Daphnia pulex: one gene and its partner. The protein of the gene in region 2 binds, or shares a complex with, the protein of the main gene of each other region. Links are inferred from orthologs where the notes say so. Each region holds a gene or a part of one and is shown on either strand. Other genes may lie near its edges. The genes, in order: ADP-ribosylation factor-like protein 6 and Bardet-Biedl syndrome 7 protein homolog.

Evidence for each region.
Region 1: the proteins of Bardet-Biedl syndrome 7 protein homolog (region 2) and ADP-ribosylation factor-like protein 6 are in contact, whole or in part, in a cryo-EM structure (PDB 6VBV), measured with the Bos taurus proteins. The link is inferred for Daphnia pulex from reciprocal best matches to the Homo sapiens genes BBS7 and ARL6. Residues at the interface, in NP_001178275.2 of Bos taurus: Leu3, Ile249, Val250, Gly251, Asp300, Gly301, Tyr302, Asp303, Thr319, Glu320, Pro321, His323, Lys324, Glu325, Ser326, Gly327, Pro328; in NP_001069250.1 of Bos taurus: Met132, Asp133, Arg135, Thr139, Ser140, Val141, Ser144, Trp157, His158, Ile159, Cys160, Ala161, Asp163, Lys166.

Annotation. Positions count from the first base shown.
Region 1 is NC_060026.1:4,129,818-4,133,657, reverse strand, and holds ADP-ribosylation factor-like protein 6, read right to left. Parts: upstream 2,627-3,840; 5' UTR 2,555-2,626; coding exon 2,377-2,554; intron 2,315-2,376; coding exon 2,058-2,314; intron 1,132-2,057; coding exon 997-1,131; 3' UTR 790-996; downstream 1-789. Other genes in the region: rab GDP dissociation inhibitor beta-like, read left to right, coding at 1-26, 95-290. UniProt on the Homo sapiens protein: Involved in membrane protein trafficking at the base of the ciliary organelle. Mediates recruitment onto plasma membrane of the BBSome complex which would constitute a coat complex required for sorting of specific membrane proteins to the primary cilia.
Region 2 is NC_060022.1:2,276,751-2,281,041, reverse strand, and holds the start of Bardet-Biedl syndrome 7 protein homolog, read left to right. Parts: upstream 1-1,378; 5' UTR 1,379-1,461; coding exon 1,462-1,578; intron 1,579-1,751; coding exon 1,752-1,878; intron 1,879-1,954; coding exon 1,955-2,069; intron 2,070-2,289; coding exon 2,290-2,422; intron 2,423-2,523; coding exon 2,524-2,916; intron 2,917-2,982; coding exon 2,983-3,067; intron 3,068-3,157; coding exon 3,158-3,281; intron 3,282-3,375; coding exon 3,376-3,493; intron 3,494-3,573; coding exon 3,574-3,723; intron 3,724-3,811; coding exon 3,812-4,203; intron 4,204-4,291.

The DNA of each region.
Region 1 (3,840 bases), on a different chromosome or scaffold from region 2:
GATCTTCTCGGTCCCATCAAGCAAAAGTATGAATGATTATTTTCAAGTCAAAATTTCTTGCTTTTTGCTCATTAAATTTTTTCATGTCATGCAGGTTTTTGACGGTGACTGACTTTTACACTCCCAAAGAAGATGGTCGTGATTCGCAAGTTTTCATCTCCAAGTCTTACGACGCCACCACTCATTTTGAAACGACCTGCTTGGACGTTTTGGATGTTTACCGTCGTGGTACTGGTGAAGATTTTGACTTTTCCAAAGTCCGTCACGATCTTGGTGACGAGGAACAGTAGGAAATTTAGCAAAAGACACACTAACCAGATTACAATTCAGGAATGCTAACTAAAATAACAAAGAAAGAAAAAAAGGCATATTCCGTTTTCGTGACTCCCCCATTGAATATGACGTTCAACTCTTTGATAAATAAAAAAAAGTCAATTAGGGGGAAACGTCAAATTTTTTTCTTGTCTTAACCAAGTGCAGAAGATGGAAATTTTTGGTTAATTTTGCTATCTCTGAATATTTGTTCTCCCAAACAAACAAAAAATAATTGTGTGAATTATTATGCCCCCCATTTATCCGATTCTTATTTTTCTGCTCTCCCCCACCTTTTACTTCTGGCATATATGGTACACACACACACTTGCAAACAACAACAACAAAAAAGCTTATTGTTATTACACGTCATTGGCTGTGTTTCGTGATATCTCCAGTCGTATTCCCTTAACTGGCTCTAAAATAATTAATATTCAAAAAATTCAATTTCGGGAGAAGGAAAACAACATTTCAAGCTTCCTCATTATTTTCAATTATACTTTGGGCATTTTCAATAATCACGAGGAAAAAAATATTTTCAATGTGTGAGTGTGCACCTTTTTGCTCTGCTGCTATCAATTTCATATTTTATTTATCGTTTTCTTTTTTTCGAGTGTGTAATTTTTCTCTTTCATTCCATAAAAGAAATACAACACACACACTCTGGAGCTGGAAAAATTATAGTCAAAAATTTAATTTAATAATTTGGTCAGAGAGCCATTCAAGTCCGGCGTGTAGGCCGACACCGGTCAAAGCGTTGGAAGCCTCAAGATGGATGGGGTGTGTGTCAATTTCGTCCAATCCCAGCTCGGCACGAATCTGAAAAATTTGATAAAATAATTCTTAAAATATCATGGCGTTTACTACCTGAGTAATAAGCCGATTAACTGTTTTTTTGTTTTGATTGGGAACAAAATATTTTTTGGTTGGGGTTTTTAAAAAAATGACCTTGCAGTTGACCTTCGTTAAATCTTCGCCATACACCCAAGAGGGTGGTGATGGAAAGGGGGGGCTGCTGACGTTTAGCCAACGCGCAGGGTCAATGAAACTCCCGAGTGCTTTTTTCTTTTGTTATCCAAGATAACAATTTTTCTTTGGTCATTACATTTGTTAATGTACTTATTTATCCAGATCAACAAGTTGGCAACAATCAAACAGGTGTTGGTTATTTAACCCTGCAATCATCGATACGGTTGATTGTTTTAAAAAAAATACCGGTTTATATTTTTTGAAAGCAATTCACGATGACGTATTTTATATACCGTTACCGTTTGTTACATCACGCCAGCCTGAGGGTTTTGGGGGGTGGGGGATCGTTTCATCATACATATCCCTTTTCTTTTTTAGATTGAAATACAACAGCAGATGGTGGGTAGACGAGCCTACGTGCAATCCCGCCAAGCGGCCGATTTCCCTCCCCTCAACCAAAAGATTCGGTGGAAATAGAGCCTCCGGGAACACACACACACACAAAGAAAAAAAAGGGGGGGGGGGGTTGTTTCCCCAACGTTTTTCTTTCGCTTCACGAAAACAACATGGCGGATATTTCCCGAGATGCTTCTGAATTGTCTGGAATATATATGGGGGTGGTGGTAGGGAAACCTTATCACGTGAGAGAGTCAACCATCTTCTACAATTTCCCCATGAACAGAGGGTCTTCCTTCTCTTTTGTGTGACGGAGTAAAAAAAAAAAGTAGGAGGAGAAAATTCCAAAATGTCCGGCGCCATGACCGTTTTTTCTTTACCTGACCGATCGGGATGGCCAGATGCAAGTCGCTCTTGTTGGCTAGAATTAAAATAGGTACACCAGTTGAACGGTTTTTGACCATCTCCGGATGCTGGATCATGAGTAAAAGTTCGTTGGAAGCGACAGCCATCCGCATGGTGTCACTGCTGTCGATCACGAAAATGACGCCGTGACAATCACTGTAATAACGTTCCCATAACGACCGGTATTTTGATTGGCCAGACATGTCAAATGCCGTTAAAGTTAACCCGGCATCTAATTAAATTTTCAAATTAAACTTACAATATTAAAAGATAGAAAAATGTTTTACAATTTACTTTGAAACTTTTCCACTTTGAATCCGATGGTGGGAACAGTCACCTCCGTTCGTTTGCCTCCCGATTGGAAATATTGAACAACAGTCGATTTTCCCGAATTATCTAAACCTACAATTAAAATATTAGCTTCTTTCTTTTTAATTTTCAACCACGTTAAAAAACTATCCCAAAATTTCATCGTAGAACTTGGTTTTCAATGGCCGTCTGAGAGCAAAACCCGCGGGATTTGTTATGAACGGTAACAAGTTGTCATGACAACGGCAGTCCACTCAACAACAACCTTGGAAGCTTCCAATTTATTCCCCCAATTTCCGCGTAAACGTTTTTCCATAGAAGATGACCTTAATGACGCAATGGAAAAACATGATGGTCATTTTCGGGATGGTTCGGAAAAAACATTCCGGTGGGTGGGAACGACCTAGAATGACCTTCTTCCTCTTCAATTCCGTTTCTTGCATCTGGTGATGGTCAAAGAATAATAAAAATAGGAGATGGAAGAAGAAGAAAACTCTTGTCATCCATTTAAAAGCCCCTTTTTATTTTCTGGGAGGAGAACTTTTTGGGAAAAAAAAAGAAATGGGGGGGCAGAGAAAATGTCGGTTGGAAGAACTAGGCTGCGGGAGGGGGGCTGGGTAAAAAAAAAAACCTTTTTTTCTTCTTTACCCCCGGCTCCCGGTCGCCAGAGGGCGGCGGTCAAATTTTCCACAATAAAAAACTAAAACTTAAAAGGGGGGGCCCAAGGATTTTTATATTTGTTTGCTCGGTCGGCAGACAGAACGAAAATTTTCTTAAATAAAAGTAAGGGGATACCAAATTTGTAAATATGAGGGTAACAATTTGGTCGGTACTATTCACGACAAATAATTTTGAACGTCTAATTTAAAAATCGAATTTTTATCTTTTTTCGCATCCAAGATGGCCGACATTTGGCCGCATTATTTTTTTCGGTCAGTCGTCCAGAGGTCAGTGGAGAAAAAGCGCAAGGAGGTAGGGGGGTAGAATAAGAGGGGGGGGGATGCTTTTCGTGAAGCGAAGCCATCCGATATCTGGTCAAAAGGAGGGGGGAAGAAGAAGAAGAAGAGGAGGAGGAAACGGGAATCGGGCGGCCGAGGGGTAGAGGGGGGGCCCCTTTGTGTTGCTGTACCCCCGGAATGGAAGGAAGAAGCGAACGAGGGTAAAAAGTAGAAAGAAAGAAAGAACAGAAAAAAGGGCAAGGGAAAAATAAAAAGGGGGGGTTGGGGGCCCGCCTGCTCTGAAGTGGGTCGACAGAAAATCGGGTGAATCCATAAGCAACAACCGGGCGGCTGTTGAACCAACCGGGAGGGTGGTATAGGAGGGGGGCTCGGATAAAAGTTGACAAGAGGGTGGCGGGGTGGCGGGAAGAGCCAAAAAAAAAAGAGAAGGGAAGGGAAAAAAAGGGAGGGGGCTAACAACCCCGACCCCTTGTGTGTGTGTAAAGCAGCC
Region 2 (4,291 bases):
CCATTCCCATGGCGATTCTTTGATTCGTGTGAATTCCCAATATTACCTTCCCTCCGCTCCGCTCCCCCACTCCATTCCCCCATTTTTTGAAAACCAAATTTCTATAGATTCTCTATATATATGTATACAAATATATATTATAAATATATAACCTATAAATGCCGTGTTTCATTTCAAAAACCCCCTCACTTCGAAATATGATCACCAACGTTGCATCATCACATACTTGGAATATTACAAATGACGATACTTGGAAGCGATAAACTTGTGTGTGTAATTCCCAAATGGATTATCCTACTTGAAATATGGAATAAAGAAATCAATCAATAATAATCCGATTAGAAATGCATGACAGGAGGTTGTTTAGCTTGACGTTTTATTCCAATAACAAGAAAAATCAACCAAGAACAAAAGTTTCTCGTTGTCTCTGTCGTGAAGGCTCCCATCCGAACATCATTTGAAGCATTTCTGAGGAAAAGATCAACATGTGCGCGTATAACTGTATAACCCTTTGTCTCCTATATAAAATAACAGTAACTCTCCACTTGTCTGTTTTCTTTTCGCATCCCCTTCCGTTTATTTCGCGTTTCACTTTTCTCCATCGGTTCGAGTGAAAACTGAAATGGTACACGACTCTCAGTCGAAAGGGAGTCTCTTCCCCGAAGAGCTTTAGAAATATAAAATATGTAATAATAATAAAATCAACAACATGCCGGTGTTTTTGATCTTGTCCTCTCAATTCTCCTTCTATTTTAAATGGACCCGAGTCTCCCATATCCTAACAAAAAGACATGTGCAATGTTCGTTTTTTGTTTCTCTTGAATTTTTTCTTCCTCTTTTTCTTCCCTGTGTTGTGTCTGTGTAAAACAAAGATTGCCAGTGATGTGTAATCCAACGTTCTAAATTCTATACACAAAACCAACCAACCAAACCAAACCAAATGAAATGAAGATGATATATTACTGATGTACATGTGTAGGAAAGCCAATAGTACATATACTCTTGTCAAAGTGTGTGTTTTCTACGAGTGTGTGTGTGTGTGCTATCTACTTGTGTATAGTAAGACTACTCTTATGATTAGAATAAGGGTCGGAGGTGAGTTGTCAGAAGGAACAAGACAAAAGTACACGAGTGTTATTCATCCTGAGTCGGACGTGATTCAATTTCCTCTTTAAATGGTGCACTCGGGCGTGTAGCCACACGATGCTGATCCAAACCGAGATTAAATACGAAATGCTGTCGGATATTATTAGTCCTACTATGTGTGAGTGAGTAAACAGGATTTTTAATGAACTTTTTTTCTGTTTTTGAAAGGAGCGCGTGTTGCTGTCATGGCAACGGTGGTTTGTTTTGTTACCCGGTCTCTGTCGGGGGGTAACATCACATCATCCAGCCATTAGCGTGTAGCCACTGTAGCCTACTCTTAGTTTCTACACGAGTGATTCGTTTACATTCCAACAAATGCAACCTTCAGCTAAATTGAAATTACAGCGAGTCGACTATGTGCAAGTGGCTTCTTTGAAGTGCAGCAATTCTATTCAACTTCTATCAGCCAAAGGGGTCAAACATCAGCAAAAGGTAGGATGTATAGACTCGTGTACACGAGAGCACAGAGCAGACCTTCAATCTGCCATCAAACGTGAAGGCTCCTGATGTGTTTGACTAAAAGTCTTTAAATTTGCCTGCATGTACACTAGAGATAGACTTTTGGCATTTGTGAGAATTCCTTTGTTTTGTTTCACGTGATGCAGGTGGTTGTCGGGGATCAAAGAGGAATACTGCAACTCATATCCATCAAAAAGGGAGAACCTTTTGTAGACTTCAAAGTTGAACTAAAATCCCCAGTCAACTGTGTCACAGTTCATGTCAATAGCAACGGTAAGTCAACATTTGATTGTGTTCTGCACACAATTAACCTTTTAATATCATAGTTTTTTTTTTGTAACGGTTGCAGAACCTACAAAAGAAATGATTATTACAGCTACACAACAAACAGTGCAGGGCTTCTCAGCCAAGGGCAAACTAATTTTCAAAATGGACACAAACTTGGTAGAACCTATTCAACATTTGTAAGATATTCCAAACATTTTATAGCTTTTTCCTTGGTCAAAGTCTGTTTGTTGTTGTTGGACCATCTTTGTAAAGCAGCTTAATGAATAGCAGTTACACATGGTACACACACACATCTAGCTGTAATGTGAGATTCTTCCCCATAGCAGCTGATGTGTCTGTGTGTGTATACATAATAGTAACAAAAAAAGGGGCTCCTACTGTTTTCACAACGCACAGGTGGATGGCCAGCAAGGAGGAGTTGGTCGTCTCAAATTCATACGTCTATAATCATTATCAAGATGGGAAGGAGGCCAATTATTTCCTTTCCACTGATCGCATCAACGCTGTAGCGGTGCTTCCTCTTAACAAGGTATACACACCTTTATTATTGCCAGGTTTCTCGTCCTTCCTTATATAATATAGCTGGTCTTATATTGGATCGATGCGGGCCATCATTCCTATTAAAAACAGGTACCCAGTTTGACTCCGTTGCTGGGATGCCAAGATGGGAACATTTATTCCCTGAGGGACTCGTCTGTACGACACCGACTGCCTATTGACGCTGGTATTCCCACAGCCATTCAACTGTTTCAAAACGATGGAGGCACTAGCGGCGAGTGGGTGATTTACGGAACATCGTTGGGTCAAATTGGACTCGTCCGATGGAGTAGAGCTGGCCCGGCAGTACGGTGGGTTATACAACTCCCTTCACAAACGACCGTGACGTCGTTGGATTTTTACGACGTCAGCGACTCGGACGATGGTGGTCAACTGATAATCGGTAGGGAAGACGGCGTAGTTGAAGTGTACCAAGTACCACCCGAAGATGATGCAGTGCACAGCCCTACCTTAATCTTCTCACAAGTAAAATGCCATTTGACTTCTAAACATAACTTTTGATAGGCCCCGTGTGCTAACCTGATTATTTAGAATTGCAACGACAGTATTGCGGCAGTCCGAGGCGGAATTATCGGCGCAGATGGCTTCCCGGAAATATTAGTAGCTACTCAACGTGGTACGTACATATAAAACTCGACCCGGCGTGTCGTTTGCTCCTTTCTATTTCTTCCTTGTACTCAACAACTTATTGATTATGCTAACGAAGGCTGGATATTCGGTCTAACCAGCTGCGAATCAACAACACGGAGAAAACAACCAGACGAAGTGACAGCGGCCCGAGCCAGCAATGCCCACGGCTCCGAACGTCGAAAGCAGCTGCAATATCTCAAGTCAAATTACTGCACACACCCACTCGTTTCACTTTAGCGGCTCCCCAGTAGCCCTTGACGTTTTCTCTCTCTCTCTCTCTCTCTTTGATCACAGATCCGAAGTGGAGTTTCTAGAAAAGCAATTTACCGAGGCGAAGAATAACAAGTCTCCAGCGTTGCTGCCGGCCAGTTTGGAGAAGACCACGTCGGCGCAGGTCAACGTCAGGGCCAAAGTAAATGTTGATTCTCCTAGCCGTTTCTCTCCTTGAGTCTTCAAAAACCCGACGAAATAACTTATCCACTTAAATATCAGATGAACTTTGTGGGCCAGCAGAATGCCTATTACATTAGCGTCGAGAGTCATGTGTCAATCAACTTTATTCTGGTCCAATGTGACACCAACGTTCAACTCATGGACGTCGAACGCAATTTAGCTATTTTGAGCGTAGTCGACCACGAAAAGGTCTGCATTCTCGGAATAAGTCATTATTTGTCTAGGGAGATTTGATTCTCCGAAATGAGATGATGTTTTTCCCTTTTTTTTTTTTTAGAACGGGCCGTCTCGACTAACGGCAACTTTCCGATGCCAATCCAACACCACGCGACTGGAAATGAAACTCATTTGCGCCGAGAGGAATACCAGCGACCAGGTGCGGTTGTACGTTTCGCCCAGCATCCAGGAGCCACGCTTGGCTTTTTTAAAGTCATTTCGTCTGGGTTGCTTGTGTAACCACGTGCGATGCCATCCGCCGGAATCGTTCCAGTGGAGCGCATCGACGCCCCCCAGCAGTTTGACTTTGCGAGGTGGATTCTCTCAGGCGGATGCCCATAATTGGATCGTGTCCTGCTTACCTAACGTCCCGGAAAAAGTCCCGGCTGATGAGGAAATTCATTTTTATTTCCGTAACGATCAGTGGCAAAGCCAGCTAGACGTCCAGTACAGGTATATATAACTAAGTACTAATACTCTTGATGTACTGGAATGAAATCCGCTTTAACCGAATTGTGGTGAACTTTTTTGATTGGATCAT